Linked DNA regions of Astyanax mexicanus. The protein of the gene in region 1 interacts with the protein of each later gene in a pairwise test. Links are inferred from orthologs where the notes say so. Each region holds a gene or a part of one and is shown on either strand. Other genes may lie near its edges.

Region 1 (7,656 bases):
TGAATATAATTAAAAATATATATATTGTACTAAGTTTGCTACACTTTTAAAAACACATTTAGTTAATACCAGCATGGTGTAACTTTATATACTGATGCTGATCTTCTGACATACTCACGCCTCTCTAAATCAATAAATTAGATGTAACTGTCATTTGGAAAAGCATAACATTTTAGTATCCAGTAAATTATTAATTTTCCTACTTCAGTAAATAAAACAGCAATATAGAGGAAAAAGCTGACAATGCAACATAGTTTATTTTTGTAACACATGTTGCAATATAAAAAAACACAGGAATTTTCCTAGAAGTCCCTGATCTTTCAGTAATCCCGATATTAATAAAATATTCAGGGAACCCAAAATTATATTAATTTTAACCAGGGATAAACCAAGGTGTGAATCGCAAATCATAATGCTTCGCCATCAGCAGCCAGAGAGAGCACAATTGGCCTTGCTCTCTTAGGAGTTGGTAGATGGTATGTGCTGACCTTCACCCTACTAGTGTTGGGAGCATTAATAGTGATGGGGGAGTTCACATAAACAGGGATTTCAAAACATTCCTTTTATATGAAGAAGCAAAAAAAAAAAAAAAAAAAAAAAACACTGTCTCCCCAAAGTCTCATCATGAATGAGTTCTTATCACCTGAAATTTAACCCCAGCAAGACTGACCTCCTGTTCATCCCAGGAACTACAGGTCTTCACCACAATCTCTCCATCTCTTTCAAGAATTTACTGGTCACTCAGTCATGCAGATTTCTTCTGTATAACATCCGAACAATTCAACCATTTCTGTCTAAGGAAGCCACTCAGGTGCTGGTGCAGTCTTTTATCATCTCAATACTTGACTACTGCAAATATCTACTGGCTGGTCTTCTATTGCAAGGCATCAGGTCTCTGCAACTAATTCAGAATGCAGCAGTTCGACTCATCTTTAATCTTCCGAAGTTCAGTCATGTGACTCCTGTGCTGCGTTCCCTCCACTGGCTTCCTGTTGCTGCTCACGTCAGATTTAAAACCCTGACGCTGGCCTACAAAGCCAAAAACGGACCAGCTCCTTCCTACTTGACAGCCATGGTCGAAGCCAGATCTGTATCAAGAGCTCGAAGAGCGTTCAGTACCGCTCAGCTTGAACCACCATCCCTCAAAACCAACAGAAAACATTTACATTTAAGGTATTTAGCAGACCTCCTTATCCAGAGCGACTTACAACAGTGCTTCGATGTTACTTACAATATCCAAAGCTAGTTTGTAGACTAGGATCAAGAGATACACAGAGCTTGATCATGTTTAGAACCCTAGGAACCTTTTTTTTTAGTTTAGAAACTCTTTGAAAAGATGTGTCTTTAGTGTCTTTAGTCGACGTTTGAAGACCGCGAGTGACTCTGCTGTTCTGTCAACCAGTAGAAGTTCATTCCACCACCTTGGTGCCAGCACAGAGAAGAGTCTAGATGTCTGGAAACAAACATCCTGACTCTTCTCTGTCCTGCAACCAAGGTGGTGGAACAAACTTCCACTGGGCGTCAGAACAGCAGTTACTTCAAACCCTGATTGATGACTCATTTTTCAGTTCTTAAACTAATCTTAACAAAGCAGAAGTCGCTCTGGATAATAAATAACGTAAATGTAAATGTAGCGTACCTGTATATTGTTCAGCCACAGAAATACAAACTTTGACCAAATCCAGATGGATTACCATTACAGAATGTAGCCCATAATGGCAATCCAGGTGAAATTATGATTAAATTAAAATTGATGAACATATGCATTTGTTCCTCACTTACGGCCTTCATCAGTTCTGGAGCTAATAGTTGGAGAGCTGTCAGTCTGAGTGCTGGGCTCTTTTGGACTGTCGGTTCCTTCAGGACTAACTGTACTCTCTCCTGTGCCATCAGCGCTGCCAGGAGACCCTCCACTGCTTTCCACAACTTGATCCTCTGTGTCTTGTCTCTTCATTTTTCAATCTGCGGACAAAATGTTAAAGTAAGTAAAAGTCTCTCATTCATTCACAATCACAAAAGAGGACATAAAGAATCCTTTATAAATGTTACTTAGGGTGAAAAACAGGCATCAGGCCTGCTTTATTAACGTTAATGTCACATATCATAAATTAATATACTTTTAACTCAAAACGTAGTAATATATGATATATTTTAGTTATGTTTTACTTCAACAGCTAAAGCTAACTAACTTAACTATCTGCTTGGCTAGCAACATCTTTCAACGGTCACAACACTGACTAACGACACTGAGCGACGTCGTTAGCCAGCGTCACGCAACTTGCTTAACAGGCTAGGCTAGCTAACCTAGCTTAGCAACCATAGCTAGCCTTTTGCGAGCTTCTGTAGCTTGTGTTAAATCGTTTCGAGCTTTTATAAACAAGTCAGCTAACCGAAATAAACTGCAAAGGGCTGAAAAACAAGGACAGCTAACTTAAAGCTAAGGTAAGGTACAGCGGCACACCACTAACACAGCTATCTTAGATAGCTCGCTAACGCTAACTTAGCTAATATCGGAGTTAAATCATGACCATTAATCCCCACATAAACAGTAACACCCATAAGTGCACCTCTGTTGACAAACTGCCTGGGTTATAGCCTCGCTAGAGTTGGGTTAGGTATCCATCCAGCTAGCTAAACCTCCCGGACTTTCTGTTGAAGCGTTTTCTGGCTTTCTGACAAGTTTAAACTATCGTTAAGTTAAGCAGAGAGCTAAAGCTAGTTAGCGCCGCGATAAAACACAAGATCAACGCCAAACACCGCGATTAAAACCATTATATTACACAGTCCCACAACAACAACCCCGCTGTTTCAATAGGCTGTAGTGATATAAAGCTAGTTAACCACCTGGGTCTCGAACAGCTCGGGTAAAATCCTCTTCTCTCCGCAGAAAAAGAAAGTGTGTTTGCTCTGCCAGCGGACACAGGAAACAGAGAGAAAGAGTGAAAGCGGATTGGCGAGGTAGAAACACCGCTTCCGACACAGACACCGGCACAGCGCGAGTACACACAGCCCACAAAAGCCCCCAAATACCTCAGAACTAAACGCGGAGACCCCCTCCATTAAAACCGTCATTTGTTCCATTCCCTGATAGCAAATCGTATAAACGTCATTATTTGTTGCATTACATATCTTTTTTAGGAAAAAAAAAAAACTTTAAGCAACCTTTATTTAACATTATCTACGACGGCGTTTTAGGGCCACTCTTAAAAAAAATCACTTCGAGAATAAAGTCGCAATATTACAAGAATAAAGTCGCAATATTACGAGTTTAAAGACAAAATATCACAAGAAAATAAAATTGCAATATTACGAAATTAAAGACAATATTATGAGATTAAAGACAAAATATCACAAGATTAAAGTCGCAATATTACAAGATTAAAGTCGCAATATTACGAGTTTAAAGACAAAATATCACAAGAAAATAAAATTGCAATATTACGAAATTAAAGACAATATTATGAGATTAAAGACAAAATATCACAAGATTAAAGTCGCAATATTACAAGATTAAAGTCGCAATATTACGAGATTAAAGTCGCAATATTACCATATAATATAAAAACCTAAGTCTTATAATGGCATATTTATGAAATTATACTTGAATATAAGAACTCAGTAAACACAATTCCACATTGATAATGCACATATCATGTATACTTCACAGGAATTTACTGTATTTATGTTCCTTTGCTTGCAAAAAATGATCTAAAAGGCAGCGGTAAATCTTTGCTAAGCAGTGCGAGCACTCACCACACTGGAGGTTTCTCGCGGCGAGGGAGCTGAAGGCTTGGCTACCGGGACGCCACCATGGGAACATCTGGACACTGTATTATCTAACTGTAGCAACAGAGCATAAATAAGCAGCAGGTTAGAAATATACATAACTGATGATAATCCCAGCAGCCCTGTAACAGATCATGAGTGGAAAAATGCTCCTTTCCTTCCCTCCATGCTTATATGTTGTGAGGAAAGGGACATAGAAATTAGTTATATTGTTAAATTGATGCCTTTAAGACACCTTAATTATTGAAGACTTTCACTCTCTCTATAATACCCTATAACCATATTATCTCTGTAGAAGATTCACTGCTGTGTGCCATAAGTTAAAAAACACTGGTCTAGTTTTAACCTTCACTGCTACCCTTAAACATGTGAATGGTGTTTACAAGTTCTTACAAGTAATTTATGTCCATAATGATTACATGGATATGCTTGACCACAACTGTATATTTAAGCACAAGTTTTTATTTGAAATAAAGTGTGTGCATGTGTGTGTCAAACGGCTTTATATATAAATAAAAGACATTCAAAGACGTTTTCTTTATAATCGCCGTTTTTATTTTTTGCATGTTATTTGCATTCTGGACAAACCTTTTATACCTCTTTAAAACATTTGTTCAGTAATGTTAATGTACATGTTTATGTTTTCGTGTGACATGTTCAGTTTGTGTATCTGTTTCTAGTCACTCATTCATACCGTCGGTAAAGTCAAGTCAGTCACAGTATACGATGGTTAATTGTTGGCAAAAGAAGGAGAGAAATACAATTAAAAAGAAACAAAATCACAGGACCAGGACACAATAACCAACCAGGGTGAGACTAAACAGAAAGTAGGAAATAAAAAAAAAATAACTGAAATAAACATATTGTAAACAAGTTAGCTTTTTTCTTTTCTTTTTCTATTTTTTTTAACGACACACAGCCAAGCATTACGCACTGGCTTTGGATTTGGAGGAGACAAAAAGTCTCAAGGTATAAACATCTACAAGATCTAGGACGGAAGACCAGAAAGACTCAATTTAACTGTACATGTGTGGCCTTTTATCTTTTTTTTTTTTTGCACTTCTTGGAAGTCATTGTTAATCAGGGACAGTGTGTGAACTATTCCTTTAGTAAATTCTGCCAATAATAACAACAATAAGAATAGGTCTGTTAATTTCAGATTCATGAAGCCCTGATTTGTTAATCTCTCTAAAGGATGTCCTTCAGTGAGCACAACCTGAAGTAAAGCGTTATACATCCCTGGATATGGCAGATTTAAAGTGGCGCAGGTGACTGTGGTTCCTGGCCTTCTTCTCTGAAGCTTTACTGCACATTTTCTTCATTTGCAATGGTAAAAGACTCTCATAGAGCTGCAACCAGTTTTGCTGCAAGTAAAGCCAAGAGGAAGTCAGATTTGGGACAGTCAATTGGGTCTCCACACTCAGTGAAACTTCTAACTGAGATTGTATAAATACAAGCAACATCAAAAACACTGAAAGTCCTTGAACGAACAGAAAAGAACGTGTACAATATCGATGACAGCTGGTATCTTTCTTGGCTCTTCTGTGCCACTGTGAAAGAAAGGTACATTTTCCAAAAGGAGACACAATCAATCCAAGCAAACAAACCAATGTAAATTAGTCCAGCATAATAAATTAGCTTTACATTTCAATTTCTATTTTTGATTCAGTTTACCAATTTGGTGTACAAATAGCAGACTGCCACATGTCTACAGAAACTGTGCAGATAATGTAACCTCTGATTAATATAAGATATGAAAATAGAGCAGCAACATTTGCACAAACGCGTGCACATTCAAGTAAATAAACAAAGTCTGGGAAAAAAAAGAAAAAAAAGGAAGGAAAAAATAACAAATACAAAATTAGACATGTTGATATGCATCAACCTCCAGTCTTTGTTGGTCTGATTGGCACTTTTGTGAAAAGGAGTGCATTTTCATTTTAAATTAGTTAATTCTTTTTTTTTTTTTTTATTATTACTGCACCTGATATTTCCCCATGAGAAACATGAGAAATAGTGTATACACTGCCTCCCCCATTCCTCCCTGTTAATTATAATCCTATTTATTCCTCTTTGATGTGCACGGATAAGCAGGTACAGGTAGCTGCAGCATTGCTGATTGCTCTGATCTCTGACTATTCCCTTTAAGGGCACCTTAAAGTCTCTAAAGTCTAGTTAGCCACTGTATTTTTAAATAAAATGGTCAAAAACTGATATATTTTTAATTTATTTATTTATTATGAGGAGAATACTAGTATGTTGGATGGACATCTAGATTTTGAGCATGCTGTTTGGGCTGAGGGTGTAATATCCAGCAACATTTTTCCAGTCAGCAATTCCTCTAAATTGAATGATTTTTCAATCATTAAATCACATTAACTTCTATATATTTTTTTCGATTCTAACAAAGCCATGCATATTTCAAATGATCACTTTCTATTAGAAAAACAGCCTTAATTTTGGCCTGTAAAATGCTAAATCGAGCAAGATTTGATTCCAAATAAATGTTTTCACTTTGGCTATTCTTTACACAATCAAACTATTTAAAAGGGCAGCTGATGTTTTAAATAGATTGCTATCTTGGTTAAAGTGACAAGGAACTCAAAACACTAAAATATCCTACCACCTCATTCTTATAGGACTGCCACAATTTAGCTAATAATATAGAAGCCAGGCATTGCTACTGTTCTACACCAAGGCTTTTTTAAAAAGGTATTCCTAACAACTTTAGAAAAGGTAAACACCTCCAACATTAAATGGATAATTTGGCAAATTATCAAATATATATGATTCATCACAAACAGAATATGCAGATCAGTAAAGATCCAGGGTTTCCCAAAAGGTTCATAGCACAAAGTTTATTCTTAATTGGCCGAGCAAGCTTTACCCCGAGCTCTCTCTCTCTCTCTGTCTCTCTCTCTGTGTCCATGTTAAGATGTTTTTAATGCTAAGATGCTTTTGGGAAACTAAGTCCTGTTTGTTGACAGCCTTTCGATTCCTTAGTTTAGAGCAGGAGGTGCTAAGCTAAAGTTGGTAACAAAAAGTGAACCTAAAATTTCACCAGGTCCATCTAATCTCTGTAAAAACATGCCAGATGGCATGCTTTAAAAAAAATCAAATATTTTGGCAAACTTTTTCTTCTTTACTTGTTGTGCAAAACTGCATGATTAGACATTATGTTAACATATTAACATTTAACATGTTAATTATATTAACATTTAAGCTCTGAGGATAGAGCCACACAACTTTGTTCTTAAACCATGACAGCAAAGTTTTTGGTCATGAATTAGCCTAGCATCTCCTGTTGTGATCTAAAACAATGGTTTCTGGCTGCTTTAGCTGATCAGGTAATTCATGCCAACTAAATGTTTCTGTACAGGACTCGGCAGATTGAGCATCGCTCCTCTTACTCCAATACTTAAATGCTATAATCTTAACTGCAATAAAACTGCAAATCATTCTCTATATAGTGTACAAAAGAGCAACTTCTATAAACACTGAGAAACCCAATGCTACAGTAAACAGAGGACATTGTCATGCACCAAATAGCAGAAAACATCATAGACTGCAACAGCAGAGCTGAATCGCAACAGGTTTTATACATATAAAATACTGTAACTATATCAAATGCAGTACACTTGCACTGAACTGATAAAAAGTGTCTACATCCACAATTCTGCTTAAGAGAACCATAGTTTCTCATCTATAGAATTATATCCTTTACCAGAGAAAATGGAAAGGAATCTAATGTCTGACGAAAATAATAAATCAATCAATTTTTGCTTTTGTAATAATCCACTCTGGTCCATGACCACATTTTTTTTTAGATTTGGGGGAAAAAAAACACAACACAGTATTAAATACTATAGA
Region 2 (7,943 bases), about 33 Mb from region 1:
TACAGGTGTGTTTACTAAGCAAAATGCACCTTATAACCCGATGCACTCATGTATGAAAATAGATGTTCATTGATAGTACACCTTATAATACTGTGCACCTTATAGTGCGAAAAATATGGTATGATAACACCACTAGAATAGATGGTAGAGTGTTAACACTACTTTACAACATGGAAGGTTCCTTGCTTCACCAGCAGTGTTACTCTACCCTGTGGCATGTAGGTTGTCCTCGACCCACTGCTGAAGCAATTCTATTTCATAGCTTGGAAGTTTTTTTAACACGCCACCAGAGTGACTCTAAAGCACATATCAGGTCAGTTTTCTTGTCTAGCCAATGAAGATGCTGTAATCCATGACTTGGATGGTTCCTCTGCTCACAACCAGTATACAGTCAGTATTCACCACAGCTTTTTTTGTTTACACATGAGAGTCAATTACTCTACATCACAGAGCAAAGTGACTCTAAATTTAGGACTCTATATTGTTTCCAAAGCCCACCACTAGAGTAAATTGGCTGGGATGCTTCTCAGCTATTACAGCTATTGTCCAATGACTTTTCCACTACTTATTACTTAGATTTTCTTGTGCCAACTTTACTGGTACACATTTCAGTCCTCTCGCTGCCTGCTGCAGAACTATATATGCTTTTGTTGATGCAGAACGTCTTTGGGCTTAAGAAAAGTGCTGTGCTGCAGAAACCGATTGGTATAATTACTAAGTGCTTCAAAACAGCAAATAGTTTTTATCCTAATCCTCTTTTTATTTATTTATTTTTTTTTTAAAAAAGCTTAATTCTCAGCTCATATCTTGTGGAGGTACATGGGCCCCTTATCCCTGCCAAGAAACAGTGTAAAAACTTCAGAACATAGCTGGAGGGGAAATGTAACCTCGATCTCCTGCAGCTGCTCCTGGTTGGTGGAGTACATCTGCTGAAGGCCCTGTTCAAGCTCATGGTTCCGGTCCAGGAGTGTCTTGCCCAGCTGTGCGGCCAAATGTAAATCTGCCTCAGAGAAACACACACACACACACACGAACAGTAAACATTAAGCACAGCACGACAGAATATCCTGTCAGCCAGAGGCCGGACAGTCTCGAGGTATGAGTCATAAGAGACTTATCTATCCAAGAGCTAGTTACAAGGACTGCTTTAGACGTAAGTAGCCTGCTTCATATGGTCTTGGTGAAGGACGCTTGAAGGCAACCCGTTAACATACAAATGGCTGTCAAAAAACATATCAAATTGAATAACCCATGCTATTTGTTCCAAAAGAAAACATCAATATCATTAGGCCAGGGGAGGGTAATGTGATATTTTACTGTATTGTGATATACAAAATACTGTGTAACATTTTGTGAATATTGTCAGTGCTTAAATAACACTGACAAACTGAACATTTCAGTAAAGAGTGCATAAAATGCAAGGCAGGTGAACAAATAAACTTGGCAATATAGTGTATGTAGCGAAAACTTTATTTTCCCCTTCTCCTTTATTTGTAAGAAACATGCATTTGTGAGATGTGCAGCAGAGCTGAGTAAGTGAGTCATTCCCATGAAAAATCACCAGCTACCCTCCGACAATGACAAACAGCTCATTCTGCCATTGACTTGTTCTGTGCTTGATGATCTTTTTGGGATGTCGTCTTTGTGGCACGTCTCAGACATCGCTCCATTATATGGAACTTGTTTTGTGGCACAACAGCTTGAAGTTGCATGCCAATCGATGAAGCAGTCATCCATTGGCCACTTTAGCAGGGCCAATGCTAATCTGGGAATAGCAGAAGCACAAAACAAGTGGCAATAACAACAGCAGAATGAGCAGAATAAGTTTGGCAATGGCAGAGAAGATACTGTGCTCTAGTGCTTATCCAACAAATGCATGTTTCTTACCAATGTGACAACATTTAAAAAGATAAAATTACAGGCTTTTTAACTGTACAAGATGTATAGCCAAGAAGCATTGGTCCAACAAAAAAGAATCAACCAAATACAAATTGCCTTAGTTTTTGTGCATTGTTTAGATGAATCTGTGGCTACTTGATATATATATTTGCCTAGATAGAAAGAAAGGTACTTTGAACCAGTGATTGGTTAACTGAATTATTTTCTAAGGAAATTTAGTATATATATATATTTTTTTTTGCAACGCCATAGAAGAACCATTTTTGTATAGGATCCGTCAGTGTGAATTGGTGGGGAACACATAAATTGACTATTTTTTAAGTCTGTAAAATGTCATTCACACAAACCTCTTTTACAAAATTGAGCCTTTTGGAAACAAAAGTGGTTCTCCTTTATTTAAAAGAGTGAGGGGCCAACAATGCTGGTCCACTTGCATCAGCAGTCACTGCAGCAGTGAAGTCAATGAAGCTTTAAAAGGGCCTCTATGGGCGTGACCTTCAGCTGACACAACTATGCCGTAGCTTTAGGGGGAAGCCAACAGCAAAGCACCGTTACTGTGATGTAGAACACAGTGAGAGAGTCTTTGGATATTGGATAGAGACATGAAATTAACATTAACATCTCAATAAACCAACAATATTTCCACCTTTCCACCTTAAATAGTGCAGCAGTTACAGAAGCTCACACGTCTCGTCATGTTACTTTTAAGGTGGAACGGTCAATTCCAACAATACCAACTTCCGTTTCAGAACAGAAATAAACTAATTTAGTTAATAAAACAGATATAAACATTAGCTAAAACACTGGCATTCCCAGCCTCACCCTGCTCCAGGTCCTTCCTGCTGTACCACAGCTCCTCTTCATTGTGTTCAAATCCCTCCTCCACTATCATATCGGTCAGCATGCTGGCTGGGTTTTAGGGGGTCTCTCTCCGACACACCGAGTATTAGTTTCAAGTTCTGGAAGTCTTCATACAGCTGCTCTCTTTGTCTGGACGCTACATTTCCCTCTTCTTCCACCTCCTCCTCCACCGGCTGCCGCTCCGCTACTCGCTTCTCCGCATCAACAGCAACGTGGCAAATTCACAGCCCTCACTACTGAAGCAGCGGCGGCAGCAACAGGGGGCGGGACAATCCGCACCATAACACCGAGCCCGGCCGCTTGATTGACACCGTCACTGACCAATCAGGAGAAAGAGGGCGGGGCGGAAGGAAATGGGTATGTCCTAAACAGATCAACAATGCTGCCTACACACAAAGGCCCAATCCCATTTCACTCATCGGCCCTTCCTCTTTGCCCTACCCCTCTGTTTTTTTACGCGTGCACGTCTAGGGGTATGGTGTCCTGATTCTTGTTAGGCTGGAGGGTTAAGCTAACTATACACTAGACGACTTTAAAAAGACTAACATCATGAGAACCTAATACGTGGGAACAAGATAATTAAGGTGTGGGAATAAGATTAAGTTGGAGCCAGAGAATAATAAAGTTTGCTTTTCCCTAAATTAATGCTAATGAAGACGACTGAATGTTACATCAAATCTCTAATTCAAGGATCATCATTTGTAAGAAGATGGAGAGTGAATTGGTTTCTTTTTATTTTCCTCTTGAAATGAATTTTGGCGATATTTTGGAGTCTCTTGCACTGAGACATGGCATGATTCTAGATTAAAAAGCAAGCTTCTAAAACAAAAGCTAAATTCTAGAAAAGCAAGCTTCATTATTTTCTGGCTATGACCTAATTATTTTGTTCCCACAGCTTAATAAGTCATGGCCACGACTTATTAATCTAATTCACATGCCTTAATTATCTTATTCCCACACATTAGGATCTTGTTCCCACCCCTGAATAAGATGTGACCACGTATTAGGATCTCATTCCCATGCTCTAATAAGTTCTTTCAACATGATGTCACCTTAGGGGCTTCGTAGACACCCTCTCACGTCTAAAGACAAGTCACAGACTTTTTAGTCATAGACTAGTCACAGGCTAAGATATTGCAAAGTCTGGAGATTTTGCAGGGTCACTATTTACAAGACTGCAACTACATTCTTACTGAGATTTTTTTCATAAATAATTATGATTAATTATTGTATTCGAAGCCAAATGTATCAGGTTTGCTTGAGAATGTTTGTTTACAACAATATAAAACTATAAGCATACAATATAAAATAATTGTTTTCCTTTTTTCATCTCTCTTGATACACTGACACTTCTGTGTCGCATCTCACACAAGCTGTGTAAACACTGTAACCTATTTGATCCCCATCCTGGAGGACTGCTGTCCAGCAAAGTTTAGTGACTTTCCTGCTCAAACACACCAACTACTGAACCTGGCAGCTAACGGTTAGGTGGAACCAGCTGTGTTTGAGCAGACAAATCACCAAACTATGTTGGACTATCTCGGGGAGAGAAAACACACCTCCTCTAGATGATTAACACTGATGGCAATATAAAAAGCAAGGTGTTTCTTATCACTCCCATCACACAGTTGTAGCAGATGGAAAATAGCCCTAAAAGAAGGCAATACAAAAACATGCAAAGTGTGTCGTATGTGTCAAACATTTTTCGTACAATATCTGTGTACAAAGTGTACAAACATCAGTGCGCACACACACACACACACACACACACACACACACACACACACACACACACACACACTAAAATAAACATTAATCACAGTATAAACTAATGGTCACATGCCTGACAATGTAAACCTGTGAGTCACACGAGTCTCATCTAAAAGCTCTACAAAGACTTTGTCAAACATCTGATGATGGCACTGTGACCATGTTATCATGTTTAAACTAGGCCCATATTTTGCTTTTTGGTTGGTTTATATACAGATGTAAGGCTGAAACAGGTTCAATCTAGCAAATAGGGCTCAGAAAGGTAGGCGTTTGGCATATATGGGCCACAGGTAGGTAGGTGACACAAAACCCCATTTTTCTGCAGTTTAATAAGTTATTTAAAATCCTGTTTCCATACTGAAAAACTTTCAGTTGCCTGTCCACTCTCTACTCCACTTAATAATTTCAGATCAACGAACAAACACCCAAATTATTCAATCTGACTTACTGGATAAAGTGTTTGATAAACCTAAAACAGATTAACATGTTTAACTCAGGCATAGGCAGGCTAACTATAACCTAGATAGCTAGCTAATAGGGTTAACCCAGGCTAAACAGACTAATACTAACTGAGTTACCAGATTTAACTCTAACTCTAAAAAGGTTTAGCTAAAACAGACAAACACTGACCTAAATGTAAAATAAATATAACAAACCAATTCTTGCTCTAAAGATTATCTAGTTCATTTTAGTTAAAACATGCTGTTGAAAGTTGAAACTCAGTTGTGGAAAAGATTACCCTGGCTAACCTAGGTTAACAGGTTTAATGCACACTAAAACGGACCAACTCTGGCTAAAAGGCTGTGACAGGTTAACTGGCTAAAATCATTATCCCAGATAATGATTATCCCCCAAATTCTAATTAAAATGTATAATTCAGGCAAAGAAAGACTAACTATTGCTGGTAAGCTTATAGGGATAACTCAGGCTAAACAGGCTAATGCTAAATACTAGATACTAGCTAGTAAGCTATTAAGTTTAACATAGGCTAACTGGCTAAATGTTTAAATCAGGCTTTAAGGTTCGGAAAAAATATCTCTAGTAACAGATGTAACTAGACAGGTTTATTATAGTTAAGTTAATTGATTTAGCTCAGTGTGCAAGAATACAATATGCAGTTTGTTAATTAGCTTCGACTAGCATTCACTGCTTATTAGGGCACAAGTATGCACACTCGTTAGGCTGCCTTCAGCCTGTTTCCGATTGACACACGCCCAGTACACATGGAATCCGCCTCTTCCGTACACACGGAAAAAGGTTTATCCAGGTCCAGGCAGCAGTTTAGCCGAGCTCGCTGTCAGACAGTGAATTGTGTGTGTTATGAATGTTTTAATCTGTAGATGATCATAGACAAATTCACATCATGAAGCTCTTCAGGCTCTCTGCGCATCCAGCTGCGGTGGCCTATTCAATGACCACTCTCGGGTCCAGCATGATGAACAGCATCTTCAGCTTCTACTACGTGAAACTCTTCCTAAACAAATACAGGATATCTGAATCAGCCTTCCACCAGTCTCAGGTGAGGGCTCCTGCACACTGTGGACCCTAAACAAATAATGAGATATCCTCAATACCAGTGTATCTATAGAGCTGTAACGTTACTGTATGAGCTCTGTACGTACCCCTAAAGGGGGGTTTTGCAAGCCACATGTATGCATATACATCTCTGGAAAAAAATAAGAGACCACTTAAAAGTTATGAGTTTCTTTAATTTTTCAAATTGAAAACCTCTGGAATATAATCAAGAGGAAGATGAATGATCACAAGCCATCAAACCAAACTGAACTGCTTAATTTTTTTTTTCTCGCATAAAGTTATCCAAAAGCAAAAGAAATGTGTAAGACTGGTGGAGGAGAACATGCCAAGATGCATGAAAACAGAGTTATTATGTCCACCAAATATTGATTTCTGAAAGCTTAAAACTTTATGAATATGAACTTGTTTTCTTGCATTATTTGAGGTCTGAAAGCTCTGCATCTTTTTTGTTACTTAAGCCATTTCTAATTTTCTTCAAACAAATGCTGTAAATGACAATATTTTTTATTTGGAATTTAGGAGAAATGTTGTCCGAAGTTTATAGAATAAAACACCAATGTTCGTTTTACTCAAACATATACCTATAAATAGCAAAATCAGAGACATTGATTCAGAAGTGGTTTCTTATTTTTTTTCCAAAGCTGTATATAAACAACTACGTCCCATACAGAAGCTCCTTTGCATCTTTTAGCCTCACTTGTTTCACAGAATTGGCATACTTGTTGTATTATTACTTATCTGTGTTCTCACGTAGCATGCATCACAACAGCAATGCCCCTCCTAAAAAAGGCAGTCTTAAACTGATGAAGCTGGTTAAACTGGTTGATCAGCCTAACCAGGTTAATCAGCAAAATATGACATGCTGATGAATGGAATGAAGCCCATCCAAATTACAGTAGTATGAAAGTTTGACCACCCCTGATCATTATCATGATTTTTCTTTATAAATCATTGATTGTTTGGATCAGCAATTTTAGTTAAATGTATCATAAAGCAGATGAACATGAAATTAAGTTTATAGGATTTACAGAAGGTGTGCAATAATTATTAAAACACTCTTAGGCAGGTGCATAAATTTGGGCGCTCTTGTCATTGTATTGATTTGAATACCTTTGGCACTAATTGTTGGAACACAAGATTAGTTTGGTAGGCTCATCGGAAATGTTCCAGGAAGAACTCTGAAATGGTCAAATTGGTTGGTCAAAGAGTTCTTAATTAAAGTTATTTAGATTATCTGGCAAAAATGAATTGTTATATAACATCTGTTGTGGTCTACAGGTGGTCTACATGATTTGGAACGCATTGAATGACCCACTGTTTGGATACCTTCAGGACAACTCAAGCATGTCCTGCTGTTCTTTACGAAGACTGTCCATCCTGTATGGTGCTCCATTTTACAGCTTGGCCTTCCTGCTGGCCTGGTTCCCTTGGAGGACCTATGAATCCGGGGACTGGATGAGTGGAGCACACCTGGTAGTCACACTATGCGCCTTTGATGGCATGCTGACCTTCGTGCTGCTGGCTCAGTGTGCCCTGTTTGCAGAGATCTCGGAGCATCACCAGAACAGACTGAGGCTGATTAAATACAACCAGGTAGCGTCTCTGCTGGGCTCCTCCAGCGTGCTCTTCTGCGGCCTTATCTCCAACAACATGGACAACTTTGCCGCCTTTCAGGGCTTCTGCTTTTTGGTGGCCCTGCTGGGCTGCGCCTGCATGGTCTACACCGGCTTCTACAGCGAGGGCCGCTTTGATAAAAAAGGCTCGGACCCGAACCTTCAGCAGCCTACCCTCTCCCTGTCCGCGGTGACCACCATGACGTGGCAGATTGTCACCAACAGAGACTTCCAGCTGTTTGTGGTGATGAACTTCTTCCAGGT
Region 3 (7,001 bases), on another chromosome or scaffold:
CTCCGCCTCCACCTGTTTAGAGTACTGTCTCAGATCCACCCCCTGCACAGATCCCGCCCACAATCAATACAACACATTTACCAATAGATCAATAATCACAATAATACATCATCAAACATAATCAATACATAATAAATAATCTCACCGTTTTCAGAGCCTCCTGCACCAGTTCATCCTCCAGATTAGCCTGAATATGAACTGATCACAAATAAACACATACAGGTTTATTACACCAACATTAACACCAGAGACTCAACATCACACACTGTCTGTCTGTCTGACTGTCTATCTATATATCTGTCTGTCTGTCTATCCATAAATCCATCCGTGTATCCATCCCTCTATGGATCCATAAATTCATCCACCAATTGATCCATCCACCCATCGATTAATTTATCCATCCATCTATGTATCCATCCGTTTATCCATCCACCCACCCATTCATCCATAAATCCATCCACCCATCTATGCCTCTATGGATCCATAAATGTATCCACCAATTTATCCTTCCATCAATCCATCCATCAGTCTATCCATCCATCCGTGTATCCATTTATTTAAACATCTACCCACCCATCCATCCATCCATCCATCCATCCATCATCCATTTATCTATCTGAAATCATGCATACTAAAAACGAGTTTATCCTGTTTCTACTGTCCAGAGAAGAATGTCTACTTGATTCTGGAGGTGAAACACTGCTGTGAGGATTTAACTGCATTCAGCCACAAGAGTTTCAGTTATATAGTTATGTTATATATTTATAGTTATGGAGGCAACATGAAGAGGAGAGATGCATTGCGGTTGAACGAGCTGGTCAGGAGGGGCGGGGCAGTGGTTGGAATGGAGCTGGACTCTCTGGTTACAATAGCTGAGAGAAGGACTTTGGATGAACTGCTTTCTATCATGAACAATGATAGTCACCCACTTCACACCACCATCATGAAGCAGAGGAGTGTGTTCAGTGGCAGACTGCTGTCACAGAGCTGCACAACAGACAGACTCAGAAAATCCTTCATTCCCAGAGCCATCAGACTCTTTAACTCCTCCCATCGGGGACGGGATGCTGCTGCCGACTGAGTTTAACCCAGTCACACCACATGAACATTATTACTCAACCACTTAATTATTTACACTAACACTTCCCCAACCTTGCTTACATTAAAGTATACCTTACTCATGATTGGGTATTCACATTTTCACATTCTCTTTTTAGAACTGTCTTCTAACGTATGCAAATTTATTATATTATATTTCTATGTCACAACAGTCACTTTCGTAATCGATGTCATTGCACATTGCACTTTACTCTGTTAATTATTTAATTAACAATGACCATTAGCAACATCTACTGCACTGCTCCGTTTACAGATAGATCCTTACCTTGCATAGTTAGGTTTTTTATAGTCTTATATATTTTCTATTCTTGTGTTTTGATTTGATTTGTCTGAGTATGTTTCTTATTGTATTGTGTTGTTGCTGCTGGATGCCTAAATTTCCTTCAGGATAAATAAAGTAAGTATCTATCTATCTATCTCTCTATCTCTCTATCTATCTATCTATAGGTCAGGGTGATCACCACCCCATATCCTTATGTTCCTTAATGTATGAAAGGTGCTTTATGAATAAAGTTTATAATTTTATTATTATTATGATAAATAAGCTACAGTTACAGTAGATACAGACTCACGTTTCTGCACATCACCAAGGGGAGTCGAATTTCAGCACAACACCCTTGATCTGGGATTTAAAAGTAGTTTTACTGTAAAACAGCTGGATAAGCAGCTACTTACTGTCCACCTCATCCAGGATGAACTCATCAGTGGTTATATCCAGATCCCCCAGATTCAGAGCTGGAACCAGATCAGAGTCCGGCTTCTGATACAGTCAGAATAAAAACAACAAAACTCAGTACATCAGCTCATTAAACCAGATACTGCATCGTATCGTACCCAATAATATCGCCACCATTGTGAACTATGATATTATATCCTGAAATATGGCGCCATATCACCCACCCCTAATTATCACACCAGGGTTCTACTTTTATACTGTCTTTATCAAAAGAAAAAATAACACTGTTCTTATTTCCCACTATATATCTACTAGAGACTAGAGATTTCTTTTACTTTAATCCTGGATATATGAAGATATTTGGAGTGCATTAATATTATTAGTATCATGATCACTGACTTCTGTTACAAATCTAATGAAAATTTATTGTATTTTTTAATATCTCAGTTATATAATCACATATCATATTACATGCAATAATAACATTTAATTTTCATTTTTTGGCAGTAGTGTATTGTTGAAATATCATGATATTATTTTAGGGCCATATCGCCCACCACTAGTGGAAATCATTATTCAGTTTATTTGGTTGCGCCCATTGCTGACATAGATGTGCAAATACACACACAGCTTGTTTATTTCTGTATTTTTCAGTTTTGCCAATAGATTAGGACTGTCTGGAGCAGACAAATAAATATGAATCTATTGTCTCCATGGTTAATCTAATAACATAAATGGGATACAGAGAAATTATGATGCCTTATATTATGAGGGCTTTTATTATGAAGGGCGTCTGTAGGCCAAAACACAGCTAGGCTAATGATGCAGTGTAATAGATTGATTCGCTATAACAGCTCTGTTACAGCGGAATAAACGCTATAAATCAATAATCAATAATAAGTAGGGTTATTAACTGAGTTTATAACAGTAATACAGATCAGTATCAGTTATAAACCCGCTGTACTGAAGCCCAGCTCAGACCAAACCGCCGCCAGAACCCCGTCAGCACTCCGGTACCGATCCCACGAACCCCCGAACACCCGCCCACAGCGCGGTACCGACCCGAAACCCCCCGCTAACATTAACCAGCCGGTACCTCCTCCTGCAGATAAGCCATAGCGGCGCTCCCGGTTCCGCCCGCCGGGGTTAAATCAGCCGCAGCCCCGCCGGAGACCAACACCTCCGCCATTACTACTGACACACTGAAAACTACAACTCCCAGAAACACTACAACTCACCGTAAAAAACCTGCAACTTCTATAAAAAAACTACAACTCCCGTTAAAAACAACTACAACTATAACTTCAACAGTTATAAAAAAACTACATTTCACAATGAAAAAATCTACAACTCAACGTATAAAAAACTACAAATCCCACATTAAAAACTACAACTCACATAAAAAACCTACAACTTACCACCCCGTGTCACTCCCCGATCTGTACCCCCTGCCCGATTTGTGCCGCGCATGCGCACTGCACACTGAGCAGGGGGCGCAGATCGGGCAGCCACGGCTGTCAACAGTTGTCGGCGCTGTGAGATCGCTGATCAAGCTTAACTTCCGTTTTCTGAATTCTAGATAGACAGATAGGTGTTTAAAATAATTAAAAATCGAAAATAATCTGTTAAAATGTGTGAGCCTGCTGTGTTTTTATTTATTTTTTGTTACATATACCAAGTCTGTAAATTACTTCACATTTAAAAATTCTTTTTATTCTTAAAATACACAGCAAATTATTATAAATAACAGGTACAACACATTCATCAAAATATCAGTTTATTTTACTCTCAGAAAAAGCATGAGAGCGAACCCATATCTCTCTCAACACACACACACACACACACACACACACACACACACACACACACACACACACACACACACACACTTTCCTTGCCCATTCCTTCGTTGTGGTTGTATGTATGTGTAGTTATTAGACATTTTGTGTACAGCACTTTGGGCAGTGGAAGCTGTGTAAAGAGTGCTTTATAAATAAAGCTTACTTACTTACTTACTTACTTACTTGGAGGATGGCGTGAATGCTGAATTTAACGAAAATGTACTCTGCACAGCTCTGTAAAACTTAAAATCCTTAATTTTGACACCACAGTGTACGAGCTGTTTGCGACAGTGTGGGCGGAAGTACACCTTGGCATTACCTACCCGATCTGTGCCCCTGCTCATCTCACTCAGTTTGCAGTGCGCAGGCAGGGGGTACAGATCGGGGAGTGACACGCACTACATCCACCATCTTACCTCTGACGCCCTTTCACCTCTCACCCCTCTCTACCAGCGGCACACTTTACAGAGCTTTACCCTAATTAATTTCATTAAAATCCCCTCATTAAAATCCCCTCACTCTTATTAATAAATAAACCCCCAAACTGTCCTATTTAATAAGCACTGACTGTAAATAAAACTTAAAATTAATATTTCCTCAAATATGAAATATTTAATAATAAATATAAACAGCTTGTTTAATATTCATGAAGTATATTAATAACATTTGCGTATGCAACAAAACAAATATCATAAAGTTTCAAAGATAAATACCAAAATGTTAATGAATTCCTTCCTTACCATTTCACCTCAAAATTCCCTTTTCTAGCATAAATATTTAAACACGTGATCCTTATTATTATACATTATCTTTTACTGACAGCATTAAACATGAAGGGCAACATATATACATTACTGATGTAAATAAAATATGCTACCAAATAAATAAATAAAATAAATTCCCCACAAAATACAAGAATGAAAAGTCTTTTAAGTGGTTCTTCATCTTCATCCTCTCTCTACTGGCAGGATAGTTGAATCTGAAACACACACAGATTAAGTAAGTTTAGCTTGGGCATTAAACAAATAATATACATTCTGAACAACACAAAAGTCTAACCATCCTGGGGTACGTTTCCCAAAAGCAGTGCAGGCCACGTGTTTGATTGGTCTAATACCTGGCCACGGTGGTGTTGGTGAACTGGTTTAACTGGGGTCAGTGTTAATGTGTATTATTATTATCCCGCCGCGGGCTCGCGGGGGAATTTTGAACGCGCTCCGGTCCAACGCGGGTAAAGCGCCGTGCTTTAACGGACGGAGGATTTAGCCTATCATAAACGCTGTTTCTGCAGATCAGACGTTCACTGAGACCATTTCTAGAACCGGATTGGATGGAACCTGTAGATATTCGGTCGCTATTCGTCAGACAGACTTGTAGGCGGGCTTCTTCTTCTCGGCGTAATGGCCTAGTGAAGCGCTAGCGGCTATGCTAACCGCTGACCCGCGCAAATAAAGTGCAGATAAAGTCCAGTATTTAATAATCACTCTAAACCAGAACTCTAAAGGTATTCGGTGGTTAGGATATTTTCAGAGTGTATTTCTATTGTAAAAATATTTGCACCGCTGAGGGCGGTGCTGAGGTTTATGCGCAGATTCATAATAAGGTATTTGCATATTCTGCCTAGTAACCGCTCATGTCCTCACTCCTGTGGTGAAAAACTTTTTTGCTAACTCTGCAGCTGATTGGTTAAGTCTCAGTTTGAAGTGATGACCCGCATCTGGACGACATCTAGAGGCTAAACACTCGAACTGCTGCTCTCTAACTACTGCAGAAACTATGGTCCTCAGTTCACCGGGGCTTTTACCCGGTCCCCACATATACGCAATTGTAGGAAGGTATGTGTGTGTGTGTGTGTATAGTGTGTGTGTGTGTATAGTGTGTGTGTGTGTATAGTGTGTGTGTGTGTATAGTATGTGTGTGTATAGTATGTGTGTGTATAGTGTGTGTGTGTGTTTGTGTGTATAGTGTGTGTGTGTATAGTGTGTGTGTGTGTATAGTATGTGTGTGTATAGTATGTGTGTGTATAGTATGTGTGTGTATAGTGTGTGTGTGTGTATAGTGTGTGTGTGTGTATAGTGTGTGTGTGTGTAAAGTGTGTGTGTGTGTGTGTATAGTGTGTGTGTGTGTGTATAGTGTGTGTGTGTGTATAGTGTGTGTGTGTGTATAGTATGTGTGTGTATAGTATGTGTGTGTATAGTGTGTGTGTGTGTTTGTGTGTATAGTGTGTGTGTGTATAGTGTGTGTGTGTGTATAGTATGTGTGTGTATAGTATGTGTGTGTATAGTATGTGTGTGTATAGTATGTGTGTGTATAGTGTGTGTGTGTGTATAGTGTGTGTGTGTGTAAAGTGTGTGTGTGTGTATAGTGTGTGTGTGTGTATAGTGTGTGTGTGTATAGTATGTGTGTGTATAGTGTGTGTGTGTGTATAGTGTGTGTGTGTGTAAAGTGTGTGTGTGTGTGTGTATAGTGTGTGTGTGTGTGTATAGTATGTGTGTGTATAGTATGTGTGTGTATAGTGTGTGTGTGTGTGTATAGTGTGTGTGTGTGTGTATAGTATGTGTGTATATAGTGTGTGTGTGTGTGTGTGTGTGTAAAGTGTGTGTGTGTATAGTGTGTGTGTGTGTGTGTGTGTATAGTGTGTGTGTGTGTATAGTATGTGTGTGTATAGTATGTGTGTGTGTGTGTGTATAGTGTGTGTATAGTGTGTGTGTGTGTGTGTAAAGTGTGTGTGTATAGTGTGTGTGTGTGTATAGTGTGTGTGTGTATAGTATGTGTGTGTATAGTATGTGTGTGTGTGTGTGTATAGTGTGTGTATAGTGTGTGTGTGTGTGTAAAGTGTGTGTGTGTGTGTGTATAGTGTGTGTGTGTATAGTATGTGTGTGTATAGTGTGTGTGTGTATAGTGTGTGTGTGTGTGTGTGTGTGTGTGTGTGTGTGTATAGTGTGTGTGTGTGTATAGTGTGTGTGTGTGTGTGTATAGTGTGTGTGTGTGTGTATAGTGTGTGTGTGTGTGTGTGTATAGTGTGTGTGTGTATAGTATGTGTGTGTATAGTGTGTGTGTGTATAGTGTGTGTGTGTGTGTGTGTGTGTGTGTATAGTGTGTGTGTGTGTATAGTGTGTGTGTGTGTGTGTGTATAGTGTGTGTGTGTATAGTATGTGTGTGTATAGTGTGTGTGTGTATAGTGTGTGTGTGTGTGTGTGTGTGTGTGTATAGTGTGTGTGTGTGTATAGTGTGTGTGTGTGTGTGTGTATAGTGTGTGTGTGTATAGTATGTGTGTGTATAGTGTGTGTGTGTATAGTGTGTGTGTGTATAGTATGTGTGTGTATAGTGTGTGTGTGTGTGTGTGTATAGTGTGTGTGTGTATA
Region 4 (7,382 bases), on another chromosome or scaffold:
CTACAGACTTCCACTAGAGGGCAGACCAGAGAACAAAGCCTAAAAAGGCAGAGACATAACAGTCTGTTGCAGTTTTTTTTTTTTTAAATAATCCTGATCTCTCAGCACCTGTTTAGATGAGTATTATTTTTCCTTTGTGCAGTCGCAAAACAACAAATAGATTAGGAGTCAGACAAAATATCAATATAGCAATATACTGTATTGTTTTCGTTTGTGAGACAGTATCTGTATTTGGGATCAAATATCAATATATTTACTAAAACATAGGCACTCTGAACTCCCTGGACTCAGCCCCCAATTTGACTTACTTATTAAATTTACTGCTTCATTAATCCACATGATGGTTCTAATAAAATAAATAAGGTAAACTTGCAATGATGAATACTGGTTGTTAAAGTCTGTGAAACTGACATCTATATATAATTTATTTCTGCTATTGCTTATCGTCTACAGTAGCACAGGTGCTGAGAAGTATCGTAGAGATTTGTCTTGGTATATATTGAGTATCTCAGAATCACAGTATCATAATATTATCATCATATTATCATTAAAGGTATCGTGCTAATATTGTGAGATGCCCTGTGGTTACCACCTCTAATACAGATATAAGTTATTGCAGACACTGTATTATAATATCTGTATTATATCTGTATCCCCTACATGCAGTTCACACACAAATGCGTAGTTAACAGCAAGTCTATCTCTAGCTCAAGGTGAACAAGGTGAAGTTTAAAATTCTAAAAATGTGTAGATGTTGTAGACAAGAGTAATGAAAAGGCATCAACAGTTTTTCATTTACATTAAAAGGAACAAGCACTTAAACTTTCTCAACAGACTGTTTAGACATAATGAGAAGAGTGATGTTAGTGCTAAGAGAACTGAGTTAACTTGTAAAAAAGTGCGAAATGTCACATATAATCGCCTGCAGAATCTGTATGCAATTGTCTGAGTTACAAAATATTTTAGAAATGTTTTACCTTTGCTTCCAAAATGCTGAGTGTTGTTTCAATCTGCTGAATCCGTAATGATATTGTTGAGAGTTTCTACAATAAAAAATACACACTAGTTAGTAAGATGATCTGACAAATTCACTTCTCATCTCATTTGCCACAATATTAGACAAATTAGAAGCTTATTTTGGAAGTTTACCTCTGTGGGAAATCTTACGAAGAAACCCTGTTTTACCTTGAATGTATTGACAAACATCTCACAATCATGATTACTTATCTTGGTATCTAAAATTACATAATCATCGTGTGAAACCTTGTATTTTATATGCATTAACCAATACTTACACCATATTTGATCATTTTATCACTCACAGTATATTTTACACGCATTTATATAAAAGATTAATCAATAATCACAATATATCCTTTACACATATAGTAAAACATTGTTTGATCAGGCATGTGACTAACACAGACCTTATTATGACAAATTAACCAACATGATATATAAGGCGTATATTAACACATAGGATCTATTATATGGCGGACTAACCACACGCTGCTAACACAGTAACAAATAACATATAGAACCAATTGTTGGGCACATACAGCTTATGCCTGAAGCATTTAGTTTACTGCATGTTTCTGACTGACAATCAATCATCAGCCAAGTGCACTTTGTACGAACTGAATTGATACAAAAGAGACTCGGGTACGAACAGTGCAGCCTTACACTCTGTGTGTGCGTTGTTTTTCATCTCCCAAAGCGGGATGGGAGCACGCACATGGGGAGGACGACACTTTGTAATTATTAAAACAATACCACACTGTTTTTACCGGACTCGGTCCAGTCATGAAGACAATGCCACACTGTCCGATTGGAGACAGTCAAGGTCAAACACTGGTGGTGTGATCAAACCTGGGAAACTTCAGTGCTAACACGTGCATGCTAACATGAGATGATTTTAACAACGCCTCATCAACAGGCTTTACGTCATTTTGGGGTATAAACGTGGAGTCAGATCAGAAGGGGGGTCAGAACTTATGCTGGGACGGCTGTTAGACGGTCTTTCATGTGTGGGTTCTCCTGGATATTCAGTACTTTGTAATAAATACCTGGTTTGCTTTCAACTTCACTCCATCTGTCTGACTCTCTCTATCAAACGAACACGCAGGGGAGTTGTACCCCGGACGAGAGGTGGGAGTAGCCCACCTTTCATTTTCTTTTCTACAACACCTCTTACCAAGACATGAACAGCCTATATCTTCCCAAAATTATCAAGAAAATGTTATACTTATGTGGGAGTGTTCCACAAACCTCTACCCTGCACCTTTTTCTTAACATACCTGATTTAGCTAAGCTTATTTACCGCCCTTTCAGCATTGTAGGGGTGAATTAAAGAAGTAAACACACTAAAATGTGCAGGGCAGGGAGCCTCCAAGACCAGGGCACTGAGAGAGACAGGTCTAGATTAACGTTTTTAGGAGATCATTACTGTAAACGGTCTGGGTCTGGGTCCTTTTCTTTTGGGGGATTTTGCTAAATTATCAACACATCGTAAAGCAATTGAATAAAAAAAAAGTAAATGCAAAATATGGAAATAGGGTAACGTAACCAGCTATTTCAGAATGTTAACCCACCTCTTCACAGACAGATGAGAACCGGTTGAGGAACCGAACCGTGTGAACAATAAACTGATTGAGGAAAGCGACGATTCTTCTTTGCTGAATTGCAGGAACCTGAACACACACACAAACACATAGACACACACAGGTTTCAGCAGAGAGACTGAAATGACAGCTCTCTGATCTGCTACTCAGAGAGTAAACAAGCCCGCAGCTCCAGCTGTAACAGCGCAGACACACAGACCCTCCTCACCTTGGTCAGATCCACTCCCGAGCCCACTATAGGTAACCCGTCCTCGTCCATATTAATCTGATCTTGTACTGTTTTATAAAGCTAATATAAATGATCTTAAGCCGGTATAAATTCCGCTCTGCAGTTCAGTATTCTGAAACCATCGTTCCTCAAGTCTCTCATGTGACTTTAGTATGACCCGCGACACTTCCGCCTGCAGAGAGCTCCACTCCAAATTAAGAGTCCTGGTTTACAGGCCTGTTGGAAGCGTTTTCTCAAACCAAATCTAGGATTTTCCTGAGCAAGGGGGTCACAATATTCACGGAGGGGACAAGTACTATTTCACCAGTCACGCCATGTTCAAACACTTGAACGCACTTTATGTAAGTTTAAACAGTAAAATGTTCAGTGTTCATTTTGCGCAATAAAATAAGATAAAATAAATATCAAAATCTGCCATCAAAATGCCTTCTAAAAATACTAACCATCCAGTGATAAAATATTCTAAGATGGGAAGTTAGCTTGTTATTCTATTAACCAGCATAAGGTATGTTTTTTTCTGGATAGCCAGCTGCTTTTGAGACGGATTTTCATCATCAAAAGGAATTTAAGAATTAACAGGAAAATGTTTATGTTGCTCATTCAAAACAGAAAAATATATACCAAATATATATTTTTATATATACGTGGTTGCTTTATCTTCTTTGCAGTTATTGTTTCTTGCTTCTAAATGCATATATTTTGCAAATTTGATCGCAAATTTTATATTTTTGGGTGAAACTTCTGGCACAAAATGAGCTGCATTTTTTAATATTTTACATGCATTTTTTTGTATATAGAGAAAATATTCTCATACACAAAGCATATGATCAAACCCATTTTATTCTTTTTTTAATTCTTTTTACTTTTGAACAAATACTGTCAGGTCCAAACATTAAAACGTCTCTTCTATATAAGCTTGTATTACACTGGACATTCTTATTAGACTAATTGGCGCCTCTAGTGTTTGGACATTGAAATGCATCCACTAATATTTGATTGGCCCTCTTGATCAATGGACAGATGAGTGACAGGACAGGGGCCCTTCTGGGGGCCAATCAGTTTTTTTTTTACCTGGGGCCAATGCCCCTAGAACCGACAGTGTCACAAACATTTCGCTCAAGTTCTCTTGAGCCGCTGCCAGAGATCCTCTTCATATTAGGCTACATACGTCTGTTATGTTCTTGCTGGAGTGTGACGTGTGCAGTGGTGATGGATCACATATAATCCGATAGGGTGTCGGAAGGTTATATGTTTATACTTCTCATCCAACCATAATCAAATTCACTCTGTATGGATGGAGAGATTTATCTGGACAGAGTTTTTTTTAAACAAGGAGAAGCCAGAATGAAAACAAGCTAAAAGAAAATAGGAGTAATGAGGCTTTTTTTAAATATAAGGAGTAGAAGTAAATAGTTGTCTGAAAAAAAAAAAACAAATTACTCCAGTAAAGTATAGATAACCAATATTTCTACTTAAGTAAGGTAACAAAGTATTTGTATTTCATTACTTGGCACTTCTAATGCCGATAGCTGTAGACATGTAGGTTTATCATGATGGAGCCAGTGAGTAAACAGCGAAAGCTCATGTTGGAGCAGCAAGGAACAGGTAAAGAGAGAGATATTGCACATAGGTGAGTCTCGGCCAAGCCTTTTTAAAACTGCGAAAGCTAAATGGCTGATTGTAAGTAACATTGGGAGGATTTCCCTCTGTTTCTCTCTTTCTATCTTTCCATCGCTTAATATTTGGCTATAAGTTGCTTCATAAGTGAAGTTCATTCCAGGTATGTGTATGTACTTTAATAAACAGTCCGTTATTTGGCACAGATTTGGTTTGAATTATGTTTTACAATGAGATGCATAAATCAGAAACCGGTTTAAGTCGCATTTGCTAGCCATAAAAGTCACAAATCTAGTGGTTGTCTAGACTAGTGTTTACTGATGACTATAGAATGGCAATTTTTTCCAGATTGTGTTTCACCTTTAATCATGCGATGCTCTTTAGCATGTCTAAGGTGTGCCTGAGACAGAATACTATGATCACCTGGGACATCTTGCCTTTTTATATTTGTTTTGTTCTAAATGTCATTTGCTGATGTTGAGCGTGTTGTACAAAACATTCACAACATCCTGATGACTCAATTCTTTAAGAAGTATTTCTAAAAACACAGATTCCAAGCAAACATCAAACTCAGTGTCCACTGTTCAAAAAGTATTTTAATAAACAAACACTTGGTAAAAAGAGGATATTCTTGACTATACAATGACTATGAACAGGTTCTTCCACAAATTCCTTTAAAAACAATAGTCAAGAAAAACTTCTTTCTGTAATATTTTCAACAGAATCCATCTCTGGTCAGTTCAAATATTAAGAGCAAAATGCTGGGATGACATCAGTTTAAAAACATAAAAAAATGAAAATATGTACTGAAATTCTGCATCTGTGTTTGGAAAAAAAAATCAGACCAAATGGGTCATTTTCAAGTGTGTTTGTGTGCATTGAGAAATGTGTTGGTTACTGGCAAGATTCTCAGTCATCCATGGTGAAGTCAAAAGCCTCAAAACCAGAGCGGACCTTTTTTGCCAGAGCCTCTTCCTCTTCCTTGCTGCTTTTACAATCTCTCCAGTCTGACCGCGTCGGAATGTTCATCACTGCCTCGCTTGCCAACACTTCCCTGGTGTAAATATAGCACATATTCATAAACTCGCTTTGCTCAAAAATTAATGTGCGAGGTTTATTTGTGTACAAAGACTCTTTCAAATTGGATTGTTTACCTGCCAAACTGCAATGGAAAGTTCTTCTTGATTCGGTAAAACAGTTTCTCTCCTGTGTCCAGTTCCACATAGAAGTAAGGAGTTCCTGGTGGAGCAATCTTTAAAACAGAGCAAGGAAAAAAGCCAGATTTAAACTTTTTACTTCCAAAAATTAATAAAAACAAATGTAACACTTTTACTCATTATTCAAAATTTCTTTTGATCATTATTTTAGCCTGACTTAATACTAACAACCAAGACCAATACAAAACAGGATACAGCATGTTTATACTTGCCCTTCTCAAATGCTGAAATTCTGCATTGATACTAATGAAATGTGGCTTGTTTGTTAATAAATTTCTTTTTTTATTACTTTTCCAAGAGCTAATGAGCAGAGAATGTTTTAATTAAAGTGAGAGGACTGGAAGGGTTTGGGTTTCACAAATGCTTTGCCCTATACATAAAAAAGCATTAAAACTATCATTCAAGCTACAGTATGTATACATTTAAAGGGCTATAGTTACTGCTCTTGAGTTTTTTTTACACCTCGTATCCAGGGTTTTAGAGAGTTTTGTCACTTGTACTAAACGAATGACTCTGTACCCAGGACCGATTCTGGGCTCATCTGGGGGACAAGAGGAACTTTTCGCCAAGCTGTGGATCGATTGAGTTATTCCAATTGTCTTTTTTCTGAATTAATAATTGCTATTGGTTTTGTATTTTACTCAAATAAAAACACTCATACATTACGAAACAGCATCAGTAACTCCTCTGATAAAGTGCTGTTTGCATTTTTCTCCAGGCAGGACGTAGCGTTTGGCTCCACATTACTCCAGTGTATAAGCTTGTTATGCTAACTGGCTAACGTTAGTTAGCGAGCTGTGCCAGTGTGCTTTTTTGGCTGTACTGTTTTACACAGCACTCCACAGCGCCTCTTGTGGTATGGCGGTATATTAAAAATGCATACCGGTTTTAATTTCCCCTCTGGTATAACAGATGAACCAGTATACCACCCAGCACTAGTGTGAACCCTGATTCAACTTAAGTTTCAGAAAACCTTGGAATACATGTTAGGAAATTATGGAAAAGGCAATAAAATTATTCTTAAATGACCTTTACTCCTCACTTTTCTGTAAGTAAGTGGCTAAATGTACCTGTTTGAGGTCTGTGTGCTCTGGAATTTCCATCAGTTCCATCTGCTGCTCCTGAGCCTGCACCACGAAGGCTTCCTTAATGTCCTCCGTACTGCACTTCTCCATCGGCACAGGCACCACCTACCATCCAGAGGGTGACATGGGTGGGAATTACAGTTGGTACACTTGGTAAACTTTCAGACTATAGTCGACTATTGTGTTTCTAAAGTAAACACATGCTAAGATTAAAAGACAGGCACTTTGGAAAACATGGGGCTTAGCTACAGAATAATAGGCTTTGTAAATCCTGTTCAGGCTAATCATTATTTCTACTCATAATACTATGTTAAATCTGATGATGATGATGATGATGGTCATCATTGGGAGCTTGGAGTCCCTCAGACTGGATTGCTCATCAGGACAGACTGCTTGTCTGCTCAGACTTAAACTGATGATTGAATGTATGTGAGCCTTCACATGGGGAAGAATAGAGCCTTTTAAAATCTCCCTCATACTGCAGATAAGTTCTGCCAGGCCCAAAATCATAATTTATGTGGTGCTGCTGGACTGACCCTGGGTCTCAAGAGGCCGCCCGTTTGGGCAGCAACCACAAATGCAGGCTACTCCTAGGGTTGCAACGGTATGAGAT

What was found.
Region 2: the proteins of txlna (region 1) and cdr2a interact in binary tests that used the Homo sapiens proteins (3 or more experiments, as listed by UniProt). The two-hybrid records come from large-scale screens. The link is inferred for Astyanax mexicanus from reciprocal best matches to the Homo sapiens genes TXLNA and CDR2.
Region 3: the proteins of txlna (region 1) and vacuolar protein sorting-associated protein 52 homolog interact in binary tests that used the Homo sapiens proteins (3 or more experiments, as listed by UniProt). The two-hybrid records come from large-scale screens. The link is inferred for Astyanax mexicanus from reciprocal best matches to the Homo sapiens genes TXLNA and VPS52.
Region 4: the proteins of txlna (region 1) and washc3 interact in binary tests that used the Homo sapiens proteins (3 or more experiments, as listed by UniProt). The two-hybrid records come from large-scale screens. The link is inferred for Astyanax mexicanus from reciprocal best matches to the Homo sapiens genes TXLNA and WASHC3.

Annotation. Positions count from the first base shown.
Region 1 is NC_064410.1:39,643,921-39,651,576, forward strand, and holds the start of txlna (alpha-taxilin), read right to left. Parts: upstream 3,004-7,656; 5' UTR 2,845-3,003; intron 1,963-2,844; 5' UTR 1,955-1,962; coding exon 1,783-1,954; intron 1-1,782. UniProt on the Homo sapiens protein: May be involved in intracellular vesicle traffic and potentially in calcium-dependent exocytosis in neuroendocrine cells.
Region 2 is NC_064410.1:7,014,929-7,022,871, reverse strand, and holds the start of cdr2a (cerebellar degeneration-related protein 2), read right to left. Parts: upstream 3,018-7,943; 5' UTR 2,804-3,017; coding exon 2,722-2,803; intron 1,001-2,721; coding exon 888-1,000; intron 1-887. Other genes in the region: mfsd13al (transmembrane protein 180-like), read left to right, coding at 5,894-6,049, 7,345-7,943.
Region 3 is NW_026040044.1:1,819,076-1,826,076, forward strand, and holds the start of vacuolar protein sorting-associated protein 52 homolog, read right to left. Parts: upstream 3,009-7,001; 5' UTR 2,985-3,008; coding exon 2,892-2,984; intron 1,880-2,891; coding exon 1,795-1,879; intron 199-1,794; coding exon 146-198; intron 43-145; coding exon 1-42. UniProt on the Homo sapiens protein: Acts as a component of the GARP complex that is involved in retrograde transport from early and late endosomes to the trans-Golgi network (TGN).
Region 4 is NC_064409.1:37,361,031-37,368,412, forward strand, and holds the start of washc3 (WASH complex subunit 3), read right to left. Parts: upstream 3,019-7,382; 5' UTR 2,881-3,018; coding exon 2,830-2,880; intron 2,691-2,829; coding exon 2,592-2,690; intron 1,044-2,591; coding exon 978-1,043; intron 1-977. Other genes in the region: cwf19l1 (CWF19-like protein 1), read right to left, coding at 5,377-5,521, 5,622-5,719, 6,755-6,874. UniProt on the Homo sapiens protein: Acts as a component of the WASH core complex that functions as a nucleation-promoting factor (NPF) at the surface of endosomes, where it recruits and activates the Arp2/3 complex to induce actin polymerization, playing a key role in the fission of tubules that serve as transport intermediates during endosome sorting.